3 linked regions of the Danio rerio genome follow. The protein of the gene in region 3 interacts with the protein of the main gene of each other region in a biochemical or structural test. Links are inferred from orthologs where the notes say so. Each region holds a gene or a part of one and is shown on either strand. Other genes may lie near its edges.

Evidence for each region.
Region 1: of the proteins of cops5 (region 3) and ikbkb, one has a biochemical effect on the other in vitro, tested with the Homo sapiens proteins (2 studies listed by BioGRID). The link is inferred for Danio rerio from reciprocal best matches to the Homo sapiens genes COPS5 and IKBKB.
Region 2: the proteins of cops5 (region 3) and mif form a complex in vitro, tested with the Homo sapiens proteins (2 studies listed by BioGRID). The link is inferred for Danio rerio from reciprocal best matches to the Homo sapiens genes COPS5 and MIF.

What each region holds. Positions count from the first base shown.
Region 1 is NC_133183.1:3,626,194-3,636,400, reverse strand, and holds the end of ikbkb (inhibitor of nuclear factor kappa-B kinase subunit beta), read right to left. Parts: intron 5,509-10,207; coding exon 5,384-5,508; intron 2,308-5,383; coding exon 2,208-2,307; intron 191-2,207; coding exon 143-190; 3' UTR 3-142; downstream 1-2.
Region 2 is NC_133189.1:53,746,833-53,757,498, forward strand, and holds mif (macrophage migration inhibitory factor), read left to right. Parts: upstream 1-3,932; 5' UTR 3,933-4,045; coding exon 4,046-4,153; intron 4,154-5,027; coding exon 5,028-5,200; intron 5,201-9,205; coding exon 9,206-9,272; 3' UTR 9,273-9,421; downstream 9,422-10,666.
Region 3 is NC_133199.1:27,633,202-27,643,892, forward strand, and holds the start of cops5 (COP9 signalosome complex subunit 5), read left to right. Parts: upstream 1-4,281; 5' UTR 4,282-4,461; coding exon 4,462-4,598; intron 4,599-4,699; coding exon 4,700-4,934; intron 4,935-6,457; coding exon 6,458-6,586; intron 6,587-6,983; coding exon 6,984-7,049; intron 7,050-7,131; coding exon 7,132-7,217; intron 7,218-7,332; coding exon 7,333-7,444; intron 7,445-10,691. Other genes in the region: pign (GPI ethanolamine phosphate transferase 1), read right to left, coding at 175-281, 363-461, 536-657, 2,766-2,992. UniProt on the Homo sapiens protein: Probable protease subunit of the COP9 signalosome complex (CSN), a complex involved in various cellular and developmental processes.

The sequences.
Region 1 (10,207 bases), on a different chromosome or scaffold from region 3:
ACTCCAGTGTGATTTGAGAGCACACACACACACAGAGTTTCTCCAGCAGGTGGCAGTAGAGCATCATGTGCTTATTTTTGTGGCTCTTGAGGAACTAAGTTGATTGTCTGACTACAGTTTTCATTTGATTTTTCATTTGCCATCAAGCCAGATCCTGTCCTCCGTTCAGCCACTCCCACTCCCGCAGAATCTGAACAGAAACATCAGCCATTATTAATAGAGTGTTTGTGTGTGTGTGTGTACAGGTTTATGTGGTTTACAGGGACACAAAATTGTGAGTTGACATTGGGTGGGACTTAATTGTGCTTTATTAAAGTGGTTAAATGGTGTCCCTGTATTTCAAAACCCTTAAAAATCTTACTTAACAAGGTCTTTCGGCATTCAAAATTGTTCACGTTTACTGGGTTTTAGTGGTCGGGCCGTATAATAAGAGGTTTTTACTGTATAAAATACATTACGGCTATGGAGAGTGCTTGTAAGCCATGTATATAAGTGTGTGCTAGTGTTAGGTTAAAAAAAGTTCAAATATTAGTAACACTTTAAAGTAAAATTAATGTGTTTTGTTACTAAAATAGTTTACATGAACCAACCACAAACAACTTTTATTATCAATTATAATAATGTTCATTTCTAAAGTAACTTAACACTCGTTTATGCATCAATTCTAACATCGTAAGCCGAGATGTATACTTATTTCAATTTTAATAATTCATTTGTAGTTTTCATTCATATATAGGTCAGTTGTTTTATTCTGTATAATTTTATTTTTACATTTTTATTTTATGATTTTATTTTGTATTTTTAAAAATGCTATTATATGATTAATGACTTTTTAAAATTAACCATTAAAATTATATTATATTAACTATCATTCAAACTAATCATTACAATTATTACACAATCCATAAAATATAAACTCACAGGCCACAATATAAGGTACACCGCAAATTTTTAATCAGCCAATCACAGGGCAGCAGCTCAATGCATTTAGTCATGTAGACATGGTCAAGACGATCTGCTGCAGATCAAACTGACCATCAGAATGAGGAAGAAAGGTTGGTTGTTGGTGCTAGATGGGCTGGTCTGAGTATTTCAGAAACTGCTGATATACTGGGATTTTCACGCACAACCATTTCTAGGGTTTACTGAGAAAATATTCAGTGAGCGGCAGTTCTGTGGGCGCAAATGCCTTGTTGATGCCAGAGGGCAGAGGAGAATGGCCAGACTAGTTCCAGCTGATAGAAAGGCAACAGTAACTCAAATAATCAGTCGTTACAACCGAGATCTGCAGAAGAGCATCTCTGAACACACAACACGTCCAACCTTGAGGCAGATGGGCTACAGCAGCAGAAGAGCACACCGGGTGCCGCTCCTGTCAGCTAAGAACAGGAAACTGAGGCTACAATTCACACAGGCTCACCAAAACTGGACAATAGAAGATTGGAGAAACGCTGCCTGCTCTGATGAGTCTCCATTTCTGCTGACACATTCAGATGGTCGGGTCAGAATTTGGCATCAACAGCATGAAAGCATGGATCCATCCTGCCTTGTATCAACTGTTCAGGCTGGTGGTGGTGTAATGGTGTGGGGGATATTTTCTTGACACACTTTGGGTCCATTAGTACCAATCAAGCATCATGTCAACACCACAGCCTACCTGAGTATTGTTGCTGACCATGTCCATCCCTTTATGAGCACAGTGTCTCCATCTTCTGATGGCTACTTTCAGCATGATCATGCACCATATCAGAAGCGTGAATCATCTCAGACTGGTTTCTTGAACATGACAATGAGTTCAATGTACACAAATGGCCTCCACAGTCACCAGAGCTCAATCCAATAGAGCAGCTTTGGGATGTGGTGGAACGGGAGATTGGCATCATGGATGTGCAGCCGACAAATCTGCAGCAACTGCGATCATGATGCTATCATGTCAATATGGAGCAAAATCTCTGAGGAATATTTCCAGTAGCTTGTTGAATCTATTCCACAAAGGATTAAGGCAGTTCTGAAGGCAAAAGGCGGTCAGACCCGGTAATAGTAAAGTGTACCTAATAAAGTGGCCGGTGAGTGTATATCATAATTACTTAGGATGTGCAACATTTCTTATAAATGACACTAATAAACATTCAGTTTATTACTTTAACATCCAGTAGCATCTCTTTGTAATGAAGTGCAGTAGTTGTGTTTGTGAGTTCGCTGCTCACCTGCATGCTGCTCTCCGTCTCCTGAATGGTGTCTTGCACTAAACTCTGCAGGCGGTTCTCAAATATCCTGCTTTCCTCAATCACATGCAGAGACTCCTCGCTGAACACACACACACACACACACACACACACAAATGAGAGAGAGAAACACATGACGGAAACATGCGAATCAATGCAGTGTGTTTGTTAGAAGTCATGTTTCAATGCAAACTTGTGCTCAAATCTGTAATATCTCATAAAACATTAGTGAATAAAGCAGCGTTTCCATCCAATGAGTCAAAGAGAATAAAATCATCACTTCCTGATAAACTGGAGCAAATATCAGACAGGGAAACATAGTTTAGTGCGGTAGAGAAGCCACCGTGGTGTTTTTCTTCTCTAATAAATGAGTTGTGTCTTAGAAACAAAGACGATATAAACGCGGTGAATGCGGTGGCTTCTGGAGGCGTGAGATGCTCTGTGGGAGCAAAGGCAGATGCTCAAGACAGTTCTGGAGGGAATAATAACAGAACAATAGTAATACTGAAGCTCTATGATGACGGACTGACGGCTGAAGCATTTTACACTCAGCAAAACAACATTTCAGATCTGCAACAATGTGAAGCTGCAAACTCCATTAATGCAAAGTCTCTGAAACACACATTTCTATCATCTGTTCAAACTAAATCAGGGCGTTACTGATGCGCATGCTGGAGTTTATTCACTAAATGTGTGTCCATCTTAGTTTATGAGCATTTTGTCGTATCCAATTAAAGGGTTTGCGTGTATGTAATGTATGTGCATATCTTGGGGTTTCGATCAAGCAATTTCATGCAGTATTCCAAAATGTGCATTAAAATATGCAGGGCTCGACAATAATGGCCCAGAGCCAGCGTCTGAGATGCTCGGAAAGGTAGGCAGAATGGTTACTGGCCGGATCAGGTCAGTGCTGCCTTGTCACTAAACTTTATGGCTGTGAATGTTTGTCAATTGCGTGCAAATAGGGCGCTTTCACACCTTGTTTGCCCAGCTAGAGGGGTTCCCGCAATTGCGCTCAGATCCACATCGAAACAATTGGTCTGAGATCGCCTGAATGAGGTGATTGAAACGAACTCGGAGTGAATCAAAAGCAAAATGATCCAACGAACTAATGATCCAGACTTTACACCAGTGTCTTATGATTGTGTAATAGCCATATATACGGCTGTATGAAGAGAGAATGATGAGCAGCGCGAGATGTCATTCCTACAGGAAATGTGTGTTTCATGTCAAATATAAAAGTGAAAGCATGCTGAAATATTAACAAGAGCTCTTTATCTGTTAGGAAAATGTAAAGAATTTATCATCTGATCATTTTTCCATATTTTAATCTCATTATATTTCGTGTTAGGCCTGTTGTTTTGTGCATTTCTGCACTGACACCTCGACAGAAAGATCAACATTGATCCGCTTCATGATCTGACTGCAGTCTCTGTTCATCTGTTATTTCTCTCTATAATGAAAGCCTATAATGCAGAATTTTTTTTCAGGTTTTTTTAATAGATGAATTAATTCAATTGATAGATTTTTACAAACTTGACAACTGAAATAAGGCCATGTATGAGAAAGTCTGACCTCTCTGATTTATATTTGGTGACGATGTCCGTGGCTATCAAAATTAAAGTGCACATTTTCACTTAAATATTTACACAACAGTTCTGTCTGGTTCTCGAATCTGATTGGCTGATAGCAGTGTGATATTCTGCAATAACAGCACTCGTACAGCCTCTTCACCTTTGTGTATTACTCCGCCCACATAGAGTGACAGTCGATCAATAAACTCACTACAGTTTGGCAAATATTGCAGCTGTTGGGCAACATCATGAACTTTGAGTTTTTGTTTTAGTGGAGAATGTAGTTGTTTAGATTGCAACTATGCAGTTTATTTATAAGGATAGTGCCTATTTTAAATACTTCTAATTTCTGAGAGACAGTGCGTCCCCATCTATCAGTTGTTCAGATTTTTACTTGCCCTGCCAAAATTTTCTCTGGCCCCACCAAAAAAAAGAGAAGTTAATAGCTATTTCTTTAGCCACATATTATAAATAATGTGTCAAAAGCCAAACATAACTTCAACATAACTTTTCTTTAAATACAACTAACAATTTAAAAAATTACAATTGAGATGTAAATTTAAAAAAAATATATATATATTTGTATTATATATTATATTATATATTATGTATTATATTTGTACATTGTATGCAGTTTATTTATAAGTACAGTGCCTATTTTAATACAGTTACTTTCCTATCCTGGTCCTTAACAGTGTTATTCAGAGACCTCCCTGAACACCCCCTCCTTATCGCAAACACAACAGCAGTCTGGTAGTGATTGCGTTGCTTTTTTTCATGGTTAATTATTGTGATATCCCAATTGCAACAGAGAAATACTGTAGACAGTAACACTGTGAGAAGAAATCTCTGTAGACGGATGGCATTTCATGTCACTTTCAGCCTTATAATCTTAAAATGTGAGCAAAATCAGCTGCTTTGTCTTCACTTTAGACATTACGCTATAGAGAGTCATTCAAACACTAGCTCTATTGTTAAGTTGGTGAATTAGTAACGGCTTCTGCCGTTCTGACGTCAGCTGTTGATGTGAATGAATGGCGGAAGAAAGTAGTTCCTAATACAAAAGAGTTTTTAGACTCTCCGTGTTTGATTTTCTTTTTTTTTTAAAATACGATTGTGCCGTCGAACTGTTGTATAAACGCAATATTACACAAGTAGCAGTGCGATGTGGCTGTAAATCAGCACTGGTGGGACACTAAGACACTTGGCCTGCAGCCTCGTGCCAACGCATGCCTCCCACCAGTGCTGATATACAGCCATATTGCACTGCTACTCGTGTGATATTGCTCATATATATAATTATTATTATTTTTTTTTAATTTACATCTCAATTGTATTTTTTTAAATTGTTAGTTGTATTTAAAGAAAAGTTATGTTGAAGTTATGTTTGGCTTTTGACACATTATTTATAATATGTGGCTAAAGAAATAGCTATTAACTTCTCTTTTTTTTGGTGGGGCCAGTGAAAATTTTGGCAGGGCAAGTAAAAATCTGAACAACTGCCCTGATCGTGCCAGCAGAAAAAATTGTTAGCGTTGAGCTCTGATATGTGTATGGAAACACAGTCAGTGTCTCTGGACTCACGTGTGTGGGCCGTCTGATGGGGGGCTGCTGGGATGTGAGGGTCTGTGGGACATCAGCTGGGGTGTAGGGGCCGGTGGAGTTCGCCCTCCGTCTGGACTGCCACTCACTGGACTGCGAACTTTACTCTGAAACACACACACAAGGTGAGTCTCGCACAAACACACACATTGTGTAGGAGCAGTGCTCCAAAAAGTAATTAATTACAAATGACTAGTGCCAGACGGAATCTGTGGACGCTATTTGATATTTCTGCGCAGTATTTTGTTAAAAATCTGCAGATTTCTGCGGAATTATTTTGGGATTATCATAACTAAAATATTAATACGTCAAATAACAAATAATATCTTTTTAACTTTTATTTAAAGTTTAAAATGCAAATCCAATTAGATCCACTTTACTTGGTGGCAAGTCTCTCATATAATACATATAATATATCTACCAAAAGACTTTACAAACTGCATTGTACATAAATCAGATGAACATTTTCACATTAGTTCCTGTAATTTAAAAACTGAATAAATATAGATTTACACACATTTACAAAAGTAAATAAACAGAATTAATGATGGGCTAAAAATATGCGGAAAATCTGCTGAATTGCAATGGCTGCGCAGATTCCGTGTGGGCCTACTAATGACTAATTACTAGTGCTGTCAATCGATTAAAAAAATTAACTAATTAATCGCACCTTTTTAAAAAAATTAATCGCATTTAAAATACTGAAACTTGTAATTTTGGCTATTTAAATGTAAAATTAATTTAAACACAAGACAAAAACTATTTAAATTCAAAATATAATTGTTTAATAGAATTTTTGTTTAACTTGCAACACAGATTTCTTCATGCAAACAACAAACCCACAATAAACAATCAAGATCCTGGCTTGACAGCCATATTTATTACAGAAATTAAAACACAGTCATGTTAATGACATTTAAATTTCAAAACAATCAATGCCAATAAAGAAAACATTGATTTCCATGTTGGATTCTTAGTGGACTGCAAAAAAATGCCAAAATACAGGAATTGCAGATGAGGAAAATGAAAAATTATAATAATAAACTATTGAATACAAACTGTTGCACTCATTGTAAAGTTTTATTGCTGTGAGTTGAGAACATTAATTATAGAGTAGAAACAATTTTGCTTAATCCTCCTTTACATTCATCCAGTTGCTAAGACTAGGAGTATCCTGCAAGTGCACAGAGACTCCCAAATGCCCGCAAATGAATGATAATTTCTTGCAAACCGGTCGTTAAATACATTGCACACCCCTCTCGCCCCTACTCAGATACGTCGCTCACTCCACCCCTGACACCCCTCAACATGCCTGACACAGACACACACACTCAGACACACACACAACGCGCTGCAGACGTTTTGGCCCCAACGGCCTTCCATACTGGAGCGACTCCCCTCAGATTCAACACGCATGATCACGTTCATCAAATTCGCTTAAACTAAGCGCCCTAAAGTATTACTGTATTTCACAAGGATTCTGACACAACAACGCGAAGCATACGCTTTCGTTGCGTTTAATGAAACTTTTTTTAATGAAGCATGAGCTAAGCTTGGAGGGCTCATGCTGAAAGGCAGAGTAATGCCCTGTCTTTGACAGCTCGCGACTTCACCAGACGTACTGAGTACATTTACATAAGACACCAATACTCCGATTTTAATATGATTAAGATAATACTCTTAAAATTCTACCGTGTAGCCTTAAAAGGAACCTTACCGTAAAGGAACACCGAGTCACGAAATGCGGAGGATTTTCTTTCTGTTCGCCATGCGGTATCAACTTACAACAGATGTCGAAAGTTAAAAATGAAACACCCGAAATTGCATGAAACTCTGGATAACCTGTGATGCAACTAATTGTTTTATACTGAACTTGCCTTCAAAAAGTGCTTCCTTGGTCTTATCCACATTTATTACATGTTGAACACACGTCCACCACAACGTGTGGTTTATTCATAAACTAATTTCGAGAGGATCACGTGCTTATAATTAACACGGCTGGCTCCTTGTTAGCTCCGTAATCAACCCTATTAGATGATTACAGAAGCATTATAAATAACCTGAGTTTTTCACTCCAGTTATCTTCGTCTTGAATCTCCCCCCCCTTTCCACCCCTAAATCCTCCCACTTTTTCTGATCGGGCGACACGTTTGCCCAGTGGCTAGCACTGTTACCTCACAGCAAGAACACCGCTAGTCCAACCCATCGGGCTGGTTGGTGTTTCTGTGTGGAGTTTGCATGTTCTCCCCGTGTTCGCGTGGGTTTTCCCCGGGATCCCCGGTTTCCTCCCACCGTCCAAAAACATAAACCATAGCCAATCGACTAAAACAAATTATCACCCAATACAACCTTAGTTTACACTTCCCACGGTGACAAGCAGGGGAGTTCTCGAGACCTACCTGACCTCAAATTCCCCTCTCGCCCTTCTAACGGGAGGGAGCCCCGGGCTCGAGGATATTACGAGCTCAGGGCTCTCTCCCGGGACAGCATGCCAAATACGCTTTATTGATTATAAGCTAAGTGTGAACTCTTGAAAGGAAGGAAAAAAAACCTGCATGCGTTAATTGCGTTAATTTTTTTTAACGCGTTAATTATTTAAAATTAATCGCATGCGTTAACGCGTTAATTTTAACAGCGCTACTAATTACAAAATTAAAACTGTATTTAAATTACTTAAATCATTCAGTGAAGTTTATTTATAAACTAATTTCGAGAGGAGCACGCGCTTATGATTGATAGCACCTGGTTCACATTAGCTAACACTGATTTGCCCATCAGACGACTCCTTAACCCCTATAAATAACCAAAGTATCTTACTTCAGCCATCTTCATCTTAAAGAATCCCCCCTTCCACCCCTACTCCTCCTATTTCCTTGTCAGGGCAGCACGGAGACCAAAATCATGTAACATAAGTAAATTGACAAATCTAAATTGACAGCAAAGACACCCTGCAATAGGGGGTGGGGGGTTGGGGATAGGTGGAGAGGGTGCCACGGGCTCGAGGATATCACGAGCTCAGGGCTCTCTCCCAGGACAGCATGCCAAACACGCTCCATAATCAATCATCAGCTAAGGGCGAACTCTTGAAATAACTTTAAAAACGATATACAATGTGTTTTGTTTTCCCTTAATATTAAAACCTTTATTGTGTTTACTTGTGTAATCTTTGACTAATATTTACAATTGTTGGATTACCTGAAAAATGCTTGTTTACATGATGTAAAAAATGTCTCTAGAGTGTGTGTGTGTGTGTGTGTAAAGTTCAGCTCAATATACCACAGAAATAATGTTTTCTAACTCTCTGAAACTGACCCTTTTAGGCTTTGATCCTAATTGTGTTGTTTTGTTGACTGTCGATTTACATTCAAATCGACATTTACATTTTACTTTACATTGTACTTTTTTTTCAAAAGTGGGCGGAGCTACAAATGCCTGTGTGTCAGCATAGTGGCAGATTCAAAAACAAGACTAACATCCTATGCTAATGATTGAGAGATGGGCTGTTTCTGAATATGCGTTCATCAGCGGTCTTGTGTCCCCGTGTTCTTGTGCACTCTAGAATTCCCGAAAATCATTGCGACTGGAGGTGGGAAGCGCAGCATTTTGTTTCGATTTATTATTAAAGTTCAGAGATATCACTTATTTATCTGAAGAGTTTCCCTAAATAAAACGGTGAATATAAATGTAACCCCCATAGAAATGGGTTTACCAAACAGTGTAGTCACCAATGGGTTCCTGTAGAGGGCGCTCCCCAACTTCTAGAGAGAAAGCCGGTTTTCCTTTTCTTTTGTGGACACAGTCAGTGAATGTTCCTGAACATGCACGCGGGAGAGCTTTGAGTTTATATAAACCAGTGAATTGTGCTGTATTTTCGTTTATTTTAATTTAGAAGTTAATCTTTACTCCAAACATCATCGACTGAACGACACTTTTTTTTTTTTTTTTTTTTTTTTTTTTATTGGTTTTAATGAACATACAAACGTAAACAAAAAAGGCCAAAGACAAATATATCAGTAGACAAATATAGCAGCAAAAGGCAAAGAGAAAAAAAAAAAATCTATAAATAAATTATTTCAAAATAATAATAATAAAGAAATAAATAAACATACCAACAAAATACCAAAAAAAATAAAAATAAAACATAATACACAAAGTTATGCAGTGATTAAGGTCACACATATTGTGAAAATACATCAGATGTGTTCATAGAGTCAGAGAATCATTAGAGGCATCCATATTTTTTGAAAGGCATCCCCTTTGTTTTTTAAGTAGTATGTATATTGTTCCAAGGGCATTGTTTCATTCAAGAGTTTTATAAAGAGTTCAAATGTTGGAGGTTTTTGTTGGTTCCAGTTGAGCAAAATGCATTTTTTTGCTAGATAGGAGATGATGCCGAGTCTCTTTATAGAAATAGGATCAAGTGTCTTGTTCAGTTCTGTACCAAAGAGGTATAGTGTTGGTGTGTTGTCCAATGGAACTTGCAAAGCTTTGGCTGTAAAGTCCTGTACTGCTTTCCAGAAAAATTTTAGCTTTTTGCATTCCCAAAAAACATGCATGATTGATCCTAAATAGGTTTTACATCTGTGACACCTGGGTGATACATTAGGGTACATTTTGCTCAAACGCAGTGGGGTCAGATACATCCTATGTATAAATTTATAATTTTGTTCAATTATTCTGTTATTGGAAAGGGGAATGAAAGTATTCTGGCATATAGCCTCCCACTGATCGTCATTAAAATTATATCCCAAATCTCTTTGCCACACGTTTTTAAGTGATCCCAGTGAAGAGTTGTAATATTCTAAT
Region 2 (10,666 bases), on a different chromosome or scaffold from region 3:
TTTTTACGCCATATATGTCAGCAATGGTCAGACTTCATATTTAATATGCACGCTTCGCTATTACACCGAGTAAAATATACACAAATAATCTGACATCACCGACTGTCACCCAACTTTGTAGCGCTCAGCCAGTGGAGTGAAGCCCGTTCTTCTGTCCGCTGTCTTTAAGATCGCAGAAAGAGAGCCTTTAGAGGATGATATTCCACCTCAGGTGGTCTCGTAAATGTGGTCGTAGTTTAGAAAAGATTCTCGCTGATGTTTTACAGGTGCGTTATCACAATTCCACCGAGTCTCGACCACCCCTCTCAACTCTAGAGGTTTTAATTCTCGCCTACAATATTATTTCCGGATGTCGCGTTCTGCGCATGCGCAGGAGCTACCGTAATTACTCGAACATAACTGTCAAGGTGTTAACTGGTTAGCATGGGGTTTGGTTTAAATGCAAATACTGAATACAAAACAAAAAAAAGTACTATAATGTCATATCAATAATATGTGTTTGCTGTTTTCATGTGAAGTCTGCTGTTGTGATGCTTATTGTAACACAATTTGAGCTGCATAACTTGTTAGAAATGTGCTACACTACAAATATAAATTTTCCTTAAACTTAGTCCCTTTATTTATGAGGGATCACCACAGCGGAATGAACCGCCAACGTATCCAGCATATATTTTACATAGTAGATACCCCTGCAGCCCCAACCCATCACTGGGAAACACCCATACACACTCATTCACACCCATACACTACGGCCAATTTAGTTTATGCAATTCCCCTATAGTGCAATTCCCCTATAGCGCATGTGTTTGGACTGTGGGGGAAACCGGAGCACCCGGAGGAAACCCACACCAATACGGGGAGAACATGCAAACTCCATACAGAAATGCTAACCGACCCAGCTAGGACTCGAACCAGCGACCTTCTTGCTGTGAGGCGACATGCAGTGCTAACCACTGAGCCACCATGCCACCCACTAAAAATATATTTATTATAATAACGTAGTTTCAGGAGCTGATGAAAATAAATGTAATTAATTAATAAGCGTAACACTATATACGTAGCATATGTATGTATGTGTTAGCCATCTTGTTAATTTAATCGTAACGTATAACATATGTATATATATATTCGTTCATTTTCTTTTCAGCTTAGTCCCTTTATTAATCAGTGGTCGCCACAGCGGAATAAACTGCCAACTAATCCAGCATACGTTTTACGCAGCGGATGCCCTTCCAGCTGCAAGCCTTTACTGGGAAACACCCACGCACTCTCTTTCACACACATACACTAGCTAGAACATGCAAACTCCACACAAAAATGCCAACTCAGCTGGGGCTTGAACCAGCAACCTTCTTGCTGTGATATATATATATACATATATATATATATATATATATATATATATATATATATATATATATATATATATATATATATATATATATATATAAAATCTATCTATACATATATATATATATATCGTCAGCTTGGAATTATAAGGTTCTCTCTGCGTTCTGAATGATTTTGAGATATTGAGCTTAACAGTTTTTGCAATCTATAGCAAACAGTATGTGTGTAACATTTGCTTTTTAAATAAAAACTTTTACATCCCAAACATCCCATAATGTAAATAAGTTGTCATTTAATAAGCATGTCAATAACTCAATTTTTGACAAAAATTTATATATATACAGTATATATATATATATATATATATATATATATATATATATATATATATATATATATATATATATATATATATATAATTTATTTATTTATTTATTATTTTTGCAGTTGATTTGCAAATGATCTTTCATTAATATTTAGTTTCAGTTTCTGTCTTCATTAAACACTTAATCATTTATAATTTATATATTTTTAGCATTAAACTAAAATGCTATTACTATTATGTTCTCCTTTATTATTGTTTAGTTTCTGCAGTCTATTTGTCTGCACTTGCTGTATACAACTTTACCATGCATCATATTACAAGTGGAATTCATTTGTAATCTTTTTACATTTTATGATGCTGCTTTGCTTGTTTTGCTTGTTAATTATTATTTATTTTTAATGGGGCGGCACAGTGGCTCAGTGGTTAGCACTGTTGCATGTTCTCCCCGTGTTGGTGTGGGTTTCTTCCGGGTGCTCCAGTTTCTCCCACAGTCCAAACACATGCGCTACAGGGGAATTGATTAAACTAAATTGGCCGTAGTGTATGAGTGTGTGTGTGTGTGTGTGTGTGTGATTGAGTGTGTATGGATGTTTCCCAGTACTGGGTTGCAGCTGGAAGGGCATCCGCTGCCTAAAACATATGCTGGATAAGTTGGTGGTTCATTCCTCTGTGGCCACCCCTGATGAATAAAGAGACTAAGCTGAAGGAAAATTAATTAATTAATATATTATTAGTATTATTAATCAAATAGAAGTTTTGTCAGTGAAAGGGATAGTTCACCATAAAATTAAAAACCCTGTCATCATTTACAAACCAGTTTCTTTCTTCTGTTAAACACAAAATAAGATATTTTAAAAATTCTCAAATCCTGTAACCATTGAGTTTCATAGTATTTGTGTTTCTCTACTATAGAAGTCAATGGTTTCAGTTTTTTTTCTCAAATAATTTCTTTTAAGTAAGGTTTTGACTGAACTGTGCATGTAATAAAATAATAATCAAATCAAATGTAAATAGAAATTATATATTATAAAATTATTAGAAGTATAAAAAAACTATAAAAAATAATAAAGTTTATTCATAATTATTTACAGACAATAAATAACCGTTAATAAAACTTAATACTTAATTAATAAATAAAAAAACTGCAATTTTAGCCATTTATTTGTTTGTTATAGATGTTTACTGACGTTTATTTATGGTTATCTATGTCAAAGATGACAGTTTCCACATCTCGTGCTGCCCTGAGTGTACAGTCTGGGATACAGCTTCAGATACTCGCGTAAATATAGCATTTCATGAGTGTGAATGAGTGTGTATGGGTGTTTCCCAGTACTGGGTTGCAGCTGGACGGGCATCAGCTGTGTAAAACATGCTGGATACGTTGGTGGGTTTCTTTCTTCTGTTAAACACAAAATAACATCGCTGAACTCCTGTTTAACCATTGTGTTTCATAGTATTTTTTCTCTACTATCGAAGTCAATGGTTTAAATTTTCTCTTCTAAATAACTTATTTTAAGTAAGGTTTAGGCTGAACTGCGCCTTTAATAAAATAATAATCAAATCAAATGTAAATACAATTAAAAGAAATTATAAAAATATTAGAACTAAAAGAAACAATTAATAAAATAACACAGTTCATTCATAATTTTTTACAGTTAATAAATAAAAAAAAGTAATTTTTGTCATTTATTTAATTGTTTTAGTTGTTTACTGGCGTTTATTTATGGTTATTTATGTCAAAGAGGACATAGTGCTGCCCTGAGGGTACAGTCTTGGATACAGCTGCAGATACTCACATTAATACAGCATATCATGAGTGTGTATGGGTGTTTCCCAGTACTGGGTTGCAGCTGGAAGGGCATCCGCTGTGTGAAACATATGCTGGATAAGTTTGCGGTTCATTCCACTGTGGCCACCCCTGATGAAAAAAGGGACAAAGCCGAAGGAAAAGGGTAGATGTTGAAAAAGTAATAATGGGTAATTTAATAATAAACAATATGAAAAATACTCGATATAGCCTAACTGATTTTACATTACTGTGATGGTTGGGTTTATGGTTAAGGTATAGACGTTAGTAAAATACAATTAATGGGTAATTTAATAAATAATATAAATAAATAATCCTCTTTAACTTGCGTTCGCAGCTGTATCTCCTCTAGCAGCAACCGCTGCTGAGGCTGCATCAAATCTGCATCCTTATTTGGGTCACGCGGGGTTTTACGGTAGTCTACAAGAAGCACACTAGCTTCGCGTTATAATACCCGCCTCCTTCAACCTAGAGCCTCACATCTGGAGTCATTCCTGCAGGAGTTTGATCCTTCTGACTTGCACTTTTTTTGTAAAGTAGTTTTGTTCATCTCTGTCGCAGTCATGCCGATGTTTGTAGTGAACACAAATGTTGCTAAAGACTCGGTTCCGGCGGAGCTGCTGTCGGAGGCCACGCAGGAGCTCGCCAAAGCCATGGGCAAACCCCAGCAGGTTAGTTACCTACTTTATTTTACTTATTGCCGTATTTTATCGTATGACTTTGCATATTAGTTTAGATGGGATAGAAAACTGTAAGCACTGTTACGAGTTTCAAAACATACACGCTAGCGCAAGTTATCCTCTTAGCTGCAGCTTGAGGTCGACTCGGATTTTCGTTCTTAATTAAATTTAATCTTAAATTAAATATAGACAGATTATGCGTAATAATTAGTCTTGATTTAAGATGCTCAAGTGATTAGAAGGCAAACTAATTTCCGTGAATCAGTTCGATTAACCGAAAGAACCAGTTCAAAAAACGATTCATTGATTCTTTTACGTCATGACGCATTTGCGTTATCTCATTACACAGCACCACGTGCTTGTGTATTTCACTGATTTACTAGAACGTCATGTTGAACTTACTAATTATTCATTCATTTTCATTCAACTTAGTCCCCTTATTCATCAGCCACAGTGGAATGAACCACTTCCACCACCACACCATATCCAGCTTATGTTTTACACAGCGAATCCCCTTCCAGCTGCAACCCAGTACTGGGAAAGACCTATACACACTAATTCACACACACACATGCATTACGGCCAATTAAAATTTTTCAATTTACCTTTGGCACATGTGTTTTACTGTGGAGGAAACCGGAGCACCCAGAGGAAACCCATGCAAACACGGGGAGAACATGCAAACTCCTCACACAAATGCCAACTGGCCCAGTCGGTACTCGAACCAGCGACCTTCTTGCTGTGATGCCACAGTGCTAACTACTGAGCCACTGTGCTGCCTAACATCTAAAATTGTGTTATTTTAATTGCACTGTATTATAAAGTACTGAGCTGTAGTGTTTCTCTGTGTTTGTCTGTGTGACAGTACATCGCCGTACAGGTTGTGCCGGATCAGATGATGATGTTCGGGGGAAAAGGAGACCCGTGTGCGCTCTGCTCGCTCACCAGCATCGGGAAGATCAGCGGCGCGCAGAATAAACAATACTCCAAACTCCTCATGGGTTTACTCAACAAACACCTCGGCGTTTCTGCTGACAGGTACATTCACACTGATGGCCATTTTATTATGCACACATTTTAGCGTACAGTTGTGCGTACAGTTGCAGAATTATTAGCATTATTATAATTATTATTATTTTTTTTATAAAAAAATGTCCCCAATTTCTGTTTAATGGAGAGATTTTTTTTTTACAACACATTTCTAAACAAAACAGTTTTAATATCTCATTTCTTATAGCTTATTTATTTTATCTTTGCCATGATGACAGTAAGATACTAGTATTCAGCTTAAAGTGACATTTAGGGCCCTATCATACACCCGGCGCAGTGTGGCGCAAGGCGTGGCGCATTAGTCTTTTGGTAGTTTCAGCTTGGCGCAAGAGTCGTTTTGAGGCGTTGCGCTACGCTGTTTAAATAGCAAATGCATTAGCGCTCATTTGTGCGCTCATAGGCGTTCTGGTCTAAAAAGGAGGCGTTCTGAGTCGGACCGCTGGCGCGTTGCTATTTTGAGAATCTATAATAGATTTTTCATTAGACTAAAACTAACCCGGTCTAAACTCCGGCGCAGAGTTGCGCCTCGCTTACACACTGCTTAATAGCCTACACACAAGAGAGCAATAGGCAAATATTTTTACATGTGAAAAAATGTAAATATTAAGGATATATATAGGATATAATAATAATAGATATAGGATATAAATATAAAGGATTAAAATATTACAAAACATATTATTTTCTAGCCTACATAAATATGAAAAATCACTGCTTTTATGCCTTCTTCATCTCCGGAGGCTTTTTCAGTTCATTCATAACAATTTGCTTCTGTATAATGTTATTATTATTACCAGTATTATTTATTATATCCATATTTATATTTGTTTTATTATATGGGGCACAGCATGTGTTTTAGGATATAACTCAGGTTTTTGAGCACATTTTGCTATTATTGTTCATTTATTCGTTTGCTGGAAATTAGAACTGAATTTAGAAACAGTTTTGAAACAAATCTTTGCGCTTAACAAACAAAATTATTTATTTATAGACTAATTGATGTCTGTGCGTAAAGGTTTCCCTATTCAAGAGCGAATGTGAAAGTAGATCCATTATCTCTCATTCTCACGCAGTAGATGCTCTGTTTAACAGTTTTCTGTTAATAAACTGTTAACTGTGAACTGTTTGCTTGTGAAATGATCATTTTTTCCACTTAGACTTACTTTGCGTCCTGTAAATAGCGAATGCGCTCTTGGCGCGACGCAGCTGGCTCTTAAAGGGAATGGGAGATGAGACTCTGATTGGTTTATTCTCAAAACACACCTATAACTCATTAAGAAAATAAACTCAACCCTTTTAGACCATGCGCCGCGGGGCAGGGCAGATTTCCCGTCCTTAAATTAGCAAAAACGCGTCCTGACATGCCCTGAAAGCATTTGCGCCCTGCGTTTTGCGCTCTGCGCATGGACCGTCAAAATAGAGCCCTTAAAGACTTAACTGGGTTAATCAGGCAGGTTAGAGTAATTAGGCAAGTCATTGTATAACAGTGGTTTGTTCTGTAGACTATTAAATAAAATATTGCTTAAGGGAGCTAATAATATTGACCTTTAAAATGCTTTTAAAAAAAGTGCTTTTATTCTAGCTGAAATAAAACAAATAAGACTTTCTCCAGAAGAAATTTTATATCAAAAAGATATTGTAGGAAATACTGTGAAAAATTCCTGAATCCCCAGGAAACCCCTTTTCAGCAGGGTATTTTCACACCTCTAGTTTGGAAAAAGTCAGGAAAGGGGGTGTGTCCAGCTCTGTTTAGGTTGGAGTGTCGAGGGAGGGAAAGAGGGAAGATTTTGCATAAAAATGGGAGTTTCCATTTGGGCATGCGCTGATTTTCTCAGAGGCAAAACAACACATAGAAGCAGGGGAGAAAGACAGCGACTGTGTTTACATGGACATCAGTAATCAAATTATTATATTATTATAGGATGAATCTTTTGAAAAAATTCTGAGGTGGACTTGAACTGAAAGTTGGGAGTATCATGGCCCTTTAAACATGATTTGGGGAATATTTAAAAAAAAAAAAAGCAAAATTCACAGGTTGGCGAATCATTCTGACTTCAACATACAGCATATGTACATACAGCATACATACAGCATATTAAATGAAGTTACAGCCCTTATGAAAAAAATACTACACTAATTCTTAAAAGTCTGAACACATCTTGCATATCTTGGTGTACTCTGCAGGTAAGTGAGCTTGACAAACCCCCTGCAAAAAAAATGAAATTAAAATACAAGTTTTGACGTTTATATTTAGTAGCTCAGACTTATTATTATAGTGTATAAGGCCCAATCCTAATTCTATTTTTGTACCTTTACCCCCTTCCCCTCTGCCCATGAAAGTGTAAAGGGGAAGGGGAAGATCTGTCTGTCTGTCCATCCACACATCTGTCCACCTATCTATCTATCTATCTATCTATCTATCTATCTATCTATCTATCTATCTATCTATCTATCTATCTATCTATCTATCTATCTATCTATCTATCTATCTATCTATCTATCTATCTATCTATCTATCTATCTATCTATCTATCTACCTAATCACCCATCCACCCATCCACCCATCCATCTATCTATCTATCTATCTATCTATCTATCTATCTATCTATCTATCTATCTATCTATCTATCTATCTATCTATCTATCTATCTATCTATCTATCTATCTAATCACCCATCCACCCATCCACCCATCCACCCATCCATCTATCTATCTATCTATCTATCTATCTATCTATCTATCTATCTATCTAATCACCCATCCACCCATCTATCTATCTATCTATCTATCTATCTATCTATCTATCTATCTATCTATCTATCTATCTATCTATCTATCTATCTATCTATCTATCTAATCACCCATCCACCCATCTATCTATCTATCTATCTATCTATCTATCTATCTATCTATCTATCTATCTATCTATCTATCTATCTATCTATCTATCTATCTATCTATCTATCTACCTAATCACCCATCCACCCATCCACCCATCTATCTATCTATCTATCTATCTATCTATCTATCTATCTATCTATCTATCTATCTATCTATCTATCTATCTATCTATCTATCTATCTATCTATCTACCTAATCACCCATCCACCCATCTATCTATCTATCTATCTATCTATCTATCTATCTATCTATCTATCTATCTATCTATCTATCTATCTATCTATCTATCTATCTATCTATCTATCTATCTAATCACCCATCTATCTATCTATCTATCTATCTATCTATCTATCTATCTATCTATCTATCTATCTATCTATCTATCTATCTATCTATCTACTCATCTATCTATCTATCTATCTATCTATCTATCTATCTATCTATCTATCTATCTATCTATCTATCTATCTATCTATCTATCTACTCACCTATCTATCTATCTATCTATCTATCTATCTATCTATCTATCTATCTATCTATCTATCTATCTATCTATCTATCTAATCACCCATCCACCCATCTATCTATCTATCTATCTATCTATCTATCTATCTATCTATCTATCTATCTATCTCTGTCGGTCCGTCCCTTCGTCTATCTATTCATCTATTTACAGTTTATTTTTTTCTGTCCATCCATCCATCCATCCATCCATCGGTCTACCTATCTATCCATCCATCCATCCATCCATTCACAGTTTCTATCTGTTCGTCCGCCTGTCTATCTATCCATCTATCTACAGTTTATTTCTATCTATCTGTCTGTATCTGTCTGTGTCTGTCTATGTATCAATCGCTTTACTACCAACAAAAATTTATTTTAAGTCAATATATTTCAAAATGTACCCCTAAGTAATGGGACAGCACTAAAACACCTGCACATGTCATTATATGGCGGTTCATACTGCTGTGGAGACCCCTGATAAATAAGGAACTAAGGCAAAGGAAAATCAATGAATTTATTTGCTATTGGTTGTTTTGCATGTAGCAGATGTGTGTTTAATAAAACTGTCTTGTGTTTTTCTTGTTTTAGGATCTATATAAACTTTGTTGACATGGATCCAGCCAATGTGGCCTGGAACAACAGCACCTTTGGATAAATATGATGGATGTATGGCCTGATATAAGGCTGCGCTTTGTCATTCCAGCTGTTGAGAGTTTAATGCCATCAGTCGATTGAGTCTTAACACACAGCACTTACGGCAGACAGCATCTTGCTTTGACAATAAAGTTTCCTTTAAACTGTAAATGAGATGTGTTGTTTATTTTTATTATGCAAATATTCTGGGATTAAATAGATTTGATATTGTCTAAATAAAATCTAAATAATGAGTATTAACACATTCCTTCTTTTTGTTTTCGGCTTAGTCTCTTTATTAATCTGGGGTCGCCACAGCGGAATGAACCACCAACTTATGCACCATATGTTTTACACAGCGGATGCCCTTCCAGCTGCAACCCATCACTGGGAAACATCCATACATAGTCATTCACACACACACACTGTAGTGACACAAATGACCATTTTGTCACTTGAGGTGTTGTAGGGTTGTTTCTGACGCGTGAGAGCTCAACAAACGAATCATCCTCCAAATACTGCTTATCAGATTTATTTTTTGCACAGACAGTTCTTATGGTTCAATTTCCACTCACAGTCTGATATATAAATGCTCATAAAATCACATTGAATGCCTCAATAAAGCTCTTTCAAACACGGTCAAAAAATGTTGTGCTTCCCTCTAATTACACACCTGTTGTTCTAAGTCTTTGTCTACCTATATACTCCTCCAAACCCCCACTCCACCCAGTGGTCAAAAACAGCATTACAAAACATAATGGCTCTTACACCCCGGCCCCTAATTGTACATGGCAGGTAGACATAACAATTCAACAATGTACATACAAAGAGCCATTAAAGCAACACTATAAACATTGCATTAATCAATTCTGTGTAGGTGTCAAATTTAACAGTCTTTACCATCAGTCCATTATATTTCCATGTTGTCATACAACAGACAAAGTTTTGTCACGGGTCTCTCAAGTACACTGGTTTTAGTTTGTACTCGCACAGAACGAACAAGTCCATTTTTATCTGGAAAAACCTCCAGAATTCGCCCCAATAACCAAGACCCTCGAGGGGCAGACGAGTCCACAATGACAACAATGTCACCAGGAACAAAGTTTCTCCTTTCCTTATTCCATTTCTGCCGATCTTGAAGCAAAGGCAAATATTCATTTGTCCATCTTTTCCAGAATAAGTCACACATATACTGGACCTGTTTCCATCTCCTCTTGCTGTATAATTCAGATTTTTCAAATAATCCAGGTGGTAATACTGGTTTACCTTTCATCTGAAGAAGATGGTTTGGAGTAAGTGGCTCCAAATCATTCGGGTCATCTGACAACTTAGTTATTGGGCGATCATTTAGAATGGCCTCAATTTCACATAGTACAGTATGGAATCCTTCATCATCCAAAATCTGCTGATGTAGGA
Region 3 (10,691 bases):
AGGGTTTCTGTAAAAAAAATATTTGTTTTATTTTATAAAGTTCTGCTAACATTTCTTTTAAACTTACATACAAATATTGTAATTTCTAGCATTTTTTTACATATCAATGACAATATGCATTGAAAAGCTACACATAATAAATGAATATGAAGTGATTGCACAAGAGCGTCCTACCTTCACTTCATCAAACACCCATGTGTCGAGTCTGGAAGCATCAGTGGAGGCGAAGTCCTCTCGCTCTGGAGGGTAAGTGTGAGTGTAGACATGGTCTCCAGTGGCACCTACAAAACACACATGCTGATAAGACCACCAGATAAAAACAACATGCTTCCCCAGACCAACTCGTAGGTGTGTGGTTATACCTTTAGCAAACATTGGCAATATATCAGGGCTTCCCCAACACCAGGTATATCTGCTCTCATTAAAGACAGAATCAAACTCCACTGGATTCTCCTTCCAGCCTGGAAACACAGGCGCACATGATTGATTTTACACACATAGAAAGCTAGATACAAACACAGATATGACTGCTTACCCTTGGCAACAGCACTAACGTCCTCATAAAAGCCTGCTATTAGAGCGACATGTCCTGGGCGTGATTCAGTAGGGACCCGTGTGTGTGAAACTCCCCATGTGCCGCCCTCTTCAATCACACTCCTTATGACAGGAAACAGCATGAAGGAAAAAAAAAGCACAAATAAATAAAACAATATACCTGTATACACCAAGGGCCTTATTATACACCCGGCGCAATTAGGCGCAAGATGTGTTTGCCGTGGTTTGTTCCAATTTTCAGACCAGTGCAAACCTAATTTTCATGTTTTTGGGCCATGTTGTTTAAATAGCAAATCCATTTTTGCCACTTTGTGGACTCATGAGTGTTCAGCTCTATAAGGGGGGTGCATTAAGGAGCTTTGTTGGAGCGCTGCTATTTTGAGGAACTGAAATATTCTGCGCCACTAACCAAGTCCAGCGCATATGCCATTCCAAAAACACGTACACATTACTTAATACACACAGGATGTGCAGCAATACACAAATATGAAAAAATTTAAGGATTAAAATATTACAAAAATTAATATTTTCTTTATAAATATAACAACCACTACCTCCATGCCCTCTTCACCTTGGGGGGCTTTTTGTATAATTTGCATTTGTATGATGTTAAATTATTAATACTAATATTTATTATACACAAATTTATATTTGTTTTAACAAAGGTTTAGATTTGTCCACCTGTCAGGTTATGGAGACGTATGCAACACCATATGGGGCATAAGAATAGTATGTGTGTTTGGATATAGCTCAGATTTTTGACTACACTTTGTTATTATTGTTAATTTATTCCTTTGCGGGAAATTAGAACTGAATTTAGAAATAGTTCTGAAACAAATCTCTGTGCTTAACAAACGAAATTAAATATGTAGTTTGTGCAACACCGTTTCCTTGTCCACGAAAGTAAATGAGTAAGGTTAAGAGTAAAGTAAAATAAAGAGAAAGTAAAGAGGTCGAATGGAGGTGGCTCATTCTTTATCCTTGAACAGATGGTCTGTTTAACTGTTTTCTCGCTAGTAAAGCATTCAGTTTTTCCACTTACAAAGTTCATCATGTAAATGATGTAAAACGCACCCTGGCATGACGCAACTGACTCTTAAAGGAAATGGGAGATCAGACTTTCAAACAGAGATTGTTTAAATGCACGTTATGCTCAAAACACACCCAGAACTCATTAAGAGAATAAGCACAACCCTGTTAGACCAAACTGTACTGATCTGTCCTTAAAATAGCAAAAGTGGATTCAGTCACGCCCTTAATGCTTTTGTGCCATGCGCTTTAGACTTTGCCCCTAAATTGTTAAAATAGAGGCCCTAATGTATGACAGGCATAAACTGGTGGGAAGGGGAGCTCATTAGTGGTCCTTAAGATGACGTTAAAGTAAAAAGAAATATGGTAAAATTAATAGTAATACTTTACAATAAGGTACATTAGTTCATGCATTTACTAACATGAACAAATAATAACAACACATACAGTATTAAATGCAGCTTTGTTAACTCTAATTAATGGCAATAAAGTTATGTAATCTTAGTTCACATTAACTCACTGTATTAAACAATGTTAACAAGCATGAATTAGGATTTTAATAACGCATTAGTAAATGCTGAACTATGATTAATAAATGCTGTACAAGTATTGTTCATTATTATTAGTTCATGTTAGTAAATACATAAACATTTAACTAATGAAACATTATTGTAAAGTGTGATCAGAAAAACTTTATCCAACAGAATAATGAATAAATAAATACATGCATAAAATGTAATTAGTAAATTAAGTTGTACTATATGCATTTTATTTAGTGTAAACTAAATTAAGTAGTTTTACCTATAAAATACATATCTATTTTGTTTGTTTTTACACAATATACTGTATGAGGATGTGTTTTTGTAAAAATGTAACTTCTACTATGCTATTAAATAGATTTAACACTTAGATACATATAACTCTGAATGAATGAATGAATGAATGAATGAATGAATGAATGAATGAATGAATGAATGAATGAATGAATGAATGAATGGAATATTAAATGCAATGCTTAGGTGAATTTTTTTTTTTTTTATGAAATCATGAAGGATGGTGAATATTTTTAACATTAAGCATGACTAATAGATATTATTTAGACATTAATGACTAACATAAACAATTCTGAACTCTCTGGAGCACATGGGTAAACAGGACAAAGATTATCCAGTGTTCGTCACCTTAGGTAAGGAGCCCTGGATGTCCCACTGTCGTCTGGCTTAAAGAGGCTGTCGGCCCTCAAACCATCTGCCACAAACAGCACCAGGCGCTTGGCCGGAGGGGGCAGAGAGACCCGCTGAGGAGTCATTCCATGGACAAGAGGAGATGTGAAATAAATGTCAAATATGCAGAGAAAGAAGACTACATGCACAATGAGTCCCACAACGAAGAATGTCACCATCTTCATCTTGTCTCCAGTCAGACCTTTGACACTGATTTACAAAAAGAAGATACACAAATGAATTTATGAAAACATTCTGTTATTAGTCTAATAGATTTTTATTATGAATTAGTTTTACATTAGCAGGACAGTAGGTTCAAATAAGTTATATTGTACAACATTTTTTTAAAAGTAACGTTAGGGGTTTATTTAAGATTGTACTTACCTTTCTGCTAATTTGAGATTGAAACAGATTCATAAAGCTGATTAGTTGAAGGTGGACAGAAGACATATAAAGGTATCATGTAACGTTAATCTGTCAATGAAAGCACCGGGCAGAGCAGGAGTGCGCGGGAACGAAACGCCCTGAAGCAAAACCCGCGCATGGGCTTTTAATCTGTTTTAAGGTGCTTTTGTATCTTTGAGTTCTGACCTGCTAAACCAAATAGTTTGTAAGAAGATTAACTGAGAACTTTTCTGCACTTCCTTGTAGCAGTAACCTTTGAACTGTGTCTGCGCAGTGCATTTTGGGAAATGTAGTTTTTAACGCCACGTTAATATTTTCATAAAAACAAAAGAGGTGCTTTAAAATGCCAGCGAGTTTATGACTGTTTACAACTTTATTTGATTCAACTGAAATTTCTCCCTTTTTACAATAAAAAATTGCACAAAAAAAATAAAAAAATAAAAATTTAGAATAAAATATATAAAAAGAAACGTAAATTTTAAATGCTTTAAACAATAAATTAGTTTAAAATAAACAATCAAACATTATATTGAGATATAAAATAAAAAATAAACAATTTAATAATTGTAAAAAATAATGAAATAACTGACACAAATATGAGTACATAACATATTATAAATTATCCAACATGCAATTTTTAAAAATATTAAAACAATTGACAAATAAAGACAAATAAATACAAGTTTAATTAAAGAGGATAATTATTTTTTAAGAAAGTAAATGTGTTAATAATTAATATATTCAGAAATACAATATCATAATTCTATAATATAATACAAATAGAAATAGACCAAATATGACCTCTATTATTTGCAAATAATTAGGTAGATCAATTTTTAACACTATTTTGTCACATTACGAAGTGGGTCATTAAACAGAAATGACATAGATCGAACCATATCTTAGATAAACAACTAAACAAAAACGAATATATCAAGAAACAGTGGCGGTGCCATAGACTGTAAAACAGTAGCGGTCGGTTTGCGTTCAGGACTCTTATTTTGGCATCAATTTTATTCCTTAGTAACCCGTACGGTCGCTCGCTTCGCTTCACTCAGGTTGTAGAGTTGTTCAGAAAAGGAGTACTGCAAGAGCTTTGTTAATTATTGCTAAATGATCTATTTAAATAGTTAGATAAACTACACAATTTTAACATTATCTAGCTCTTCATATTTTATTAATTGCGAGTGTTATTAATCATACTTCGTTATAGTCGAACAGAAGATATAAGCCGACTGTAGTATTAGCTATGGCTGGCAGTAGCATAGCGATGAAAACATGGGAGCTGTCAAACAGCATGCAGGAAGTTCAGAGTATCGACGAAATATATAAATATGACAAAAAACAACAACAAGAAATTCTGGCGGCCAAACCGTGGACTAAAGAGTAAGTAAACAAAACCAAAATGATGTCTCCTAGAGGCCCGGCTTGTTTTCGAATTATTAATACCACTGTTGTGTAACCTACACTGTTTTAATTGTTTACAGTCATCATTATTTTAAATACTGCAAGCTATCGGCGTTGGCACTGCTGAAGATGGTGATGCACGCTAGATCTGGAGGAAACCTGGAGGTGATGGGACTTATGCTGGGGAAGGTGGATGGAGAGACCATGATCATCATGGACAGTTTTGCTTTACCAGTGGAAGGCACTGAAACCAGAGTCAACGCTCAGGCTGCAGCCTATGAATACATGGCTGCTTATATAGAGAATGCTAAACAGGTACACTGACTTATAATTACTCTAAAATTCATATTAGATGAATAGTGATAAATATAAGCACAGTTTGTTTATAAACATGATCATATCCACTGCTTTATATGTGGAGCATGTATGCTGATCTTTAAGATTTTCTAATCAAGAGCAATATCATCACAAATATTTTATTAATTGTTATTTATAATTATTCTGCATTACGTTTTTAGGATTGATCCAATGTTATGTGAGAAGCTACATGTTGTGGTTACCTTTTTAAAACGTGTATATAAAAATTACAATTTAAAGAGTAAAGAAAGTTATTGGTTTGTATTCTGTTTTCATGTTTAGGATTAATAGAGAGAATATATGAAGTAGTTGGACATCTAAATATGTATCGCATCACAGAACCATTTAAATCTAATAAACTCGAATGTGATTTAAAAAAAAATCTAAAATAAAAAGTGAACAGTTACCAGAACTAAAATAAACATGAATTGTATTCCTATACTCCTCTAAAAATCATCCTAGATCTTTTATAATTATTATTTATTTAGTCTTTACTTTCTAATATTAATTGAGAGACGGAACAGAATTCTTGTCACAGGACTTGAAACAAAAAGAAATTGAATGCTATTAAATTAAAAAGGTCTATTTGGAAAGAATGTATAGTTTTCGATACGTTGACATTCTAATGTAAGGGAGTGGGTCCACATAAAATATAATAAACCAATACAGTAGAGAACAAATAGAAAATAAAAGGCAAATAAAATATACAGTGCTTTATGATTTTCTAGAAGTCTAGCAATATTCAGATTTACAAATTTAATAATCCAGTGTGAAACCATTCTAACCATAAAGTTAGAAATGTAATTTCTTTTGCTAGAGTAAATGGTGAAAACGCACAGAAATAGTGAAGGTTTTGGTAACTTTATGGTTGAACGTTGCAATGACTGCACACATCATGAGTGTTTTCAAATGTGGTTCCTGGTCAATTATAATAACGGTTCGACATTGCAGATCCTGCGATGTGACTATTGCAGATGCGCACATTGCGGTATCAATTTTAAAACAGTATATTATGCAGCCCTATTATATAAATATAATTTTTTTTTTTTTTTTATTCAGTTTTCATACTTTACTATTGAGGGACTGCATGCAGTAAGGACACAGATGTGTTTATCACATCAAAGTAATTAATAAATACTACAAAAAATTTAAATACTTAACAGATGCAATACAGGAACAGAAATGAACAAGCAAATTAATTTTTTACTCTAACAATATTTTAAAGATTTTTTATTATTATAATTATCATTAATATTATTATTATTCAGATTGAAAGGTCTAATATTAATTGAGATATATTTGCCATTAAATATGATTTTAAAAATAAAATAAAAAATAAAATTTGACAAGCGACAGGAACTCAAAAATGCACTTTATAAATGTATAAACACATTATGCATCAATTCGCAATAACCAGCATATGAAAGAATTGATATGGAAGTTCAATAATTCTGAGGTTAATTGTCTATATATTTATTTAGGTGGGGCGGTTGGAGAATGCCATTGGATGGTACCACAGTCATCCAGGATACGGCTGCTGGCTTTCAGGCATAGATGTCAGCACTCAGATGCTTAACCAGCAGTTTCAAGAGCCCTTTGTCGCAGTAGTGGTAAGCGCTGTTGGAAATGTTAAACTTGTTGCATATTTTGCTGATTTCCCTCTTTAAAGCGGGTTACCATCCATCTCAAAAGACACAAGGGGAAAACAGCTCCGCTATGAAATAGTTAAAAGTATCGGTTTAAATTCAGCTTTATCAGTGATCCATAATTGACCCTCAAGACACAAATGAGTTGATGACATTTGTACTGCTGTCTGATTAATGACTGTTGCCTTTGTAACAGAATACATTATACAGTTTATCCTTCATTGCTTATGTAGTGCCGAGGGCAAATAGCAAGCTGGCGTTCATAACTTTCACTCGCAAAACTGGCAGCTTACTGTTTTTATTTGTTATATTTGACTGAACTCTTTTGCTAATTTCAGTCCTTGTAATTTTTCATCCTCAGATCGATCCCACAAGGACTATATCCGCAGGGAAGGTCAATCTTGGAGCTTTCAGGACATATCCGAAGGTAGCAACTATTTTTAGGCAACTGTATCTAATTTATATGCGTTTTATAAGATGTTGAATCACATTCAAATGTTTAAAAATAGGGTTACAAGCCTCCAGATGAGGGTCCTTCTGAATACCAGACGATACCTCTTAACAAAATTGAGGATTTTGGAGTGCATTGCAAACAGTAAGTGTGCATGACATATTGAATATATTTCCTTTTTTTTAGCCTTTTTATGCACTTGTTATATTTTGAAAATATATTGACTTGCAGTTAACGATAAGCTGTTGTTTGTTTTTAGGTATTATGCATTAGAAGTGTCTTATTTTAAGTCTTCCCTGGACCGCAAACTCCTAGAGCTGCTGTGGAATAAGTATTGGGTCAACACTTTGAGCTCCTCAAGCCTACTGACAGTAAGCACACACTTTTATTGGTGTAAAATTAATATATATTACATTTAGATATGTGCCAACATCATCTGTCATGTTGGATTACTTAATATAAACGGCATAAATTTAAGTCTAGCCTTTTTTTTTTTTTGCTTGGAATTTGTTCTTAAATCAAAAAATGGCCTGAACCACTGTAAATTGTTACAAAAATATAAATACAAAAAATCCAAAATCTGAATTTCTGACCAGTTTCTAAAAACATCTACAGTAAATGTGATGAAGGGTGACAATATAGCTTTTATGAAGCAGGCATGCATGTATTCATTTCTATTATATAAGAGATTGCAAATACAATGAAAAATTGAGGAGCATAGAAAATCACTTTCAACCTTTTCCCTGTAAATTGTTTAAATTAAAGGGCTTCAGTTCTGAAAGCTACATTATGTTAATTTTAGTTTAAACATTATTATCTTTTCTGCTTGGCACAGAAAGGAAATTTGTCTTTTACACTGGTAACATAAATAAACCGTACAACAATAACATAATAGCAACACTCTTCAAGACAACCATATTAGCCCCATACATATTACTCCAGATTATTCTTAACAACCGCACCGTTCACATTAAACAGTGGTAAGGTTTAATACAACTGCAATAGGGATAAATGACTTCTTATAAGTATTTCTTCATGTTCCATGCATTTTAAGCTTGGTCCCGATGGTAACATTTCAAAAGCTGAGTGAAGGGGATCTGTATTATCTTTAAAAATCACAATTGCTGTTTTTCCCATAAAGGAGTCAAATAAAATCTGTAACGAATGTTGTATGTAAACTGTTTTTGCAATTAAACTGTCAGTTACATTTAGTCATTTAGCAGACACTTTCATCCAAAGCGACTTACAAATGAGGACAAGGAAGCAATTTACACAACTATAAGAGCAACAATGAATAAGTGCTGTAGGCAAGTTTCAGGTGTGTAAAGACAGTGTAAGAAGCAAAACATTAGTACAAGAAGCAAAACATTAGTACAATAATCTCTGCAAAATAAAGTTTTTACAAAGAAGAGAAAAGAATGATTTCAAAATCTGTTGTCCCCAAAAAAGCATTTCCAATGAGAAATTAACCCTCAAATTTTTGCCAAAATAAAGCAAAGTAAAAACAGCATAAATATAATTTTTTTCTCATTTTATAGTTCTATTATTAAGGCTGCATGATGTTGGACTAAAACTCATATTGCAATATTTAGTTTGTCTGCAATGTATATTGCGATAGTAACATACAGTGCTCAGCATATATATGTACACCCTTCACAAATCTGTCTTTTAAATTTTTAATAGGAAGCTTTACAATAATATATGTGTGCATAAACATTAGACTAGTCTGTACTGAAGTCAAATCTGGAGCTTGTCTAACAAAATAACTTACGATAACGGTCCAAAAACTAGTACAGTCAAATTCATATGTTATAAAAAATATTAAATACAAATTTTAAAACAGAAAAAAAAATTAAGTGAAACAAAAAAAAACTGAAAATTTTTGTTGAAATTTTGTAGGTAATAAATATAAATATTTTTTGCATTAATTTGCTTAAATTTAATTGTATTATCTTACAATTTGTAAACATGTTTGGTGACTAAAATATTCTTTTAATAAATATATCTGTTTTATAAATCTGTTTTGTTTAAATGCACCAAAATACATTGCCTATATTTACTGAGAAATGGATACAAATATTCAAAATGGGGTGTATTCAATTATGCTGAGCACTGTAAGTTCACAAGATGGCGTATAACTCCATTTGGAATGAATTCATGTTTTTACATTTTGTACAGTTTTACATTTTGTATTGAACAAATATAAATTCATGTGATGGTTTTCTGCGGAATCTAATAGTATTAAGGTATAGAAATTTTATAATAACAGATAAAATAACAATGTATAGTGTACAGTCTTCATAGTACAAGTAGTTAAATACAATTCATTTTGGTTTATATACCTTTATAACCTTTTGGTTTAGGTTTGCTTAAATCATACACAGTCACAGGTCTTAAAAATTCATCTAAATGAAAATATTACACTCTATTTTAGGGTGAAACTTTGCAATGACTCCACAAATCCCATGTTCAGAACTGTGATGCTGATCAACTACAAACTTGACATTGCATATCCTGCGATATGAATATTGCTGATTCACACATTGCAAAATTGATGTTGAAACAGTATATTGTGCAGCCCTATTATACATGCAATTGTATATTGTTATAATTCAATTATTTAATGATTATTATTATTATTATTATTATTATTATTATGAACTTAAAGATTAATTTAAGTAATTTCACAGTTTTCACTCAGCAGCCATTGGCTAGAGTGTAAAGTAGTTTTGGGCATTATATATAGAAAGAAAGAATGTATATATTAATAATAATAATAGAAATATTATACTTGTATTAATCTTTTTGTCACTTTGCTAATATTCCAAAATCATCTCTTCTTTCTCCTGTTAAGATATTCACATATTTATTATCCTGGAGCTTTGCATTCCTAACGGTTTAAGCATTTTAGGAGATTGCAAATATGGCAGGGGGGCTTGTTGACAACCTGTGCACATGATTAATATTTGTAGATGCTGCTTTTGTTTCCCTGCCTATTTGTTTTGAAAGCTTGTCATCGTCTTCTACGACATTCTGTCATGAGCTTTGTTTAAGGCTTTCGTTGAGCTGTGGACTATCTAAACAGCGGCCTCATGTGCTGCAGATAAATTGACTACTTGTCAAGAGCGACTTGCTTCTCCAAAGCAGAAGTGTTGTCAGCGATTACATCGTCACTATAGACCTTAAGTCATATCGAGTCTGTGTTTATTGCGACTCTTTGTTTCAGCTGTTTACAACCTCACCCTCTGCAAACATTTGAGACCTCATTCAGGGGCTTCAGCAAACTGTTCAACAAGATTTTGCACTGACCATTGATGAAAGGCGTTTAGGTGTTTTTTGCAATAAATGAGAGCAAGCGAAGTGGCGTTTTAAGGCACTTCGAGGTGAATAAGGTTAAAAAATAAATACCTGATTTGACCATACTTACCCATTTGATTTGATTCGATTAAGAATTGCAAACATTCATGTTACAGGTCTTCTAAAATGTTGTTTATATATGCAGTAGAGGAATTGTTTGGTTAAATTATGCATATCTTCATACATTTCTAACACACAAATCTGAACAAAACTGAGTACTCGTTTATTAATTAATTTGTTTTTTATATTATAGTCTTATAG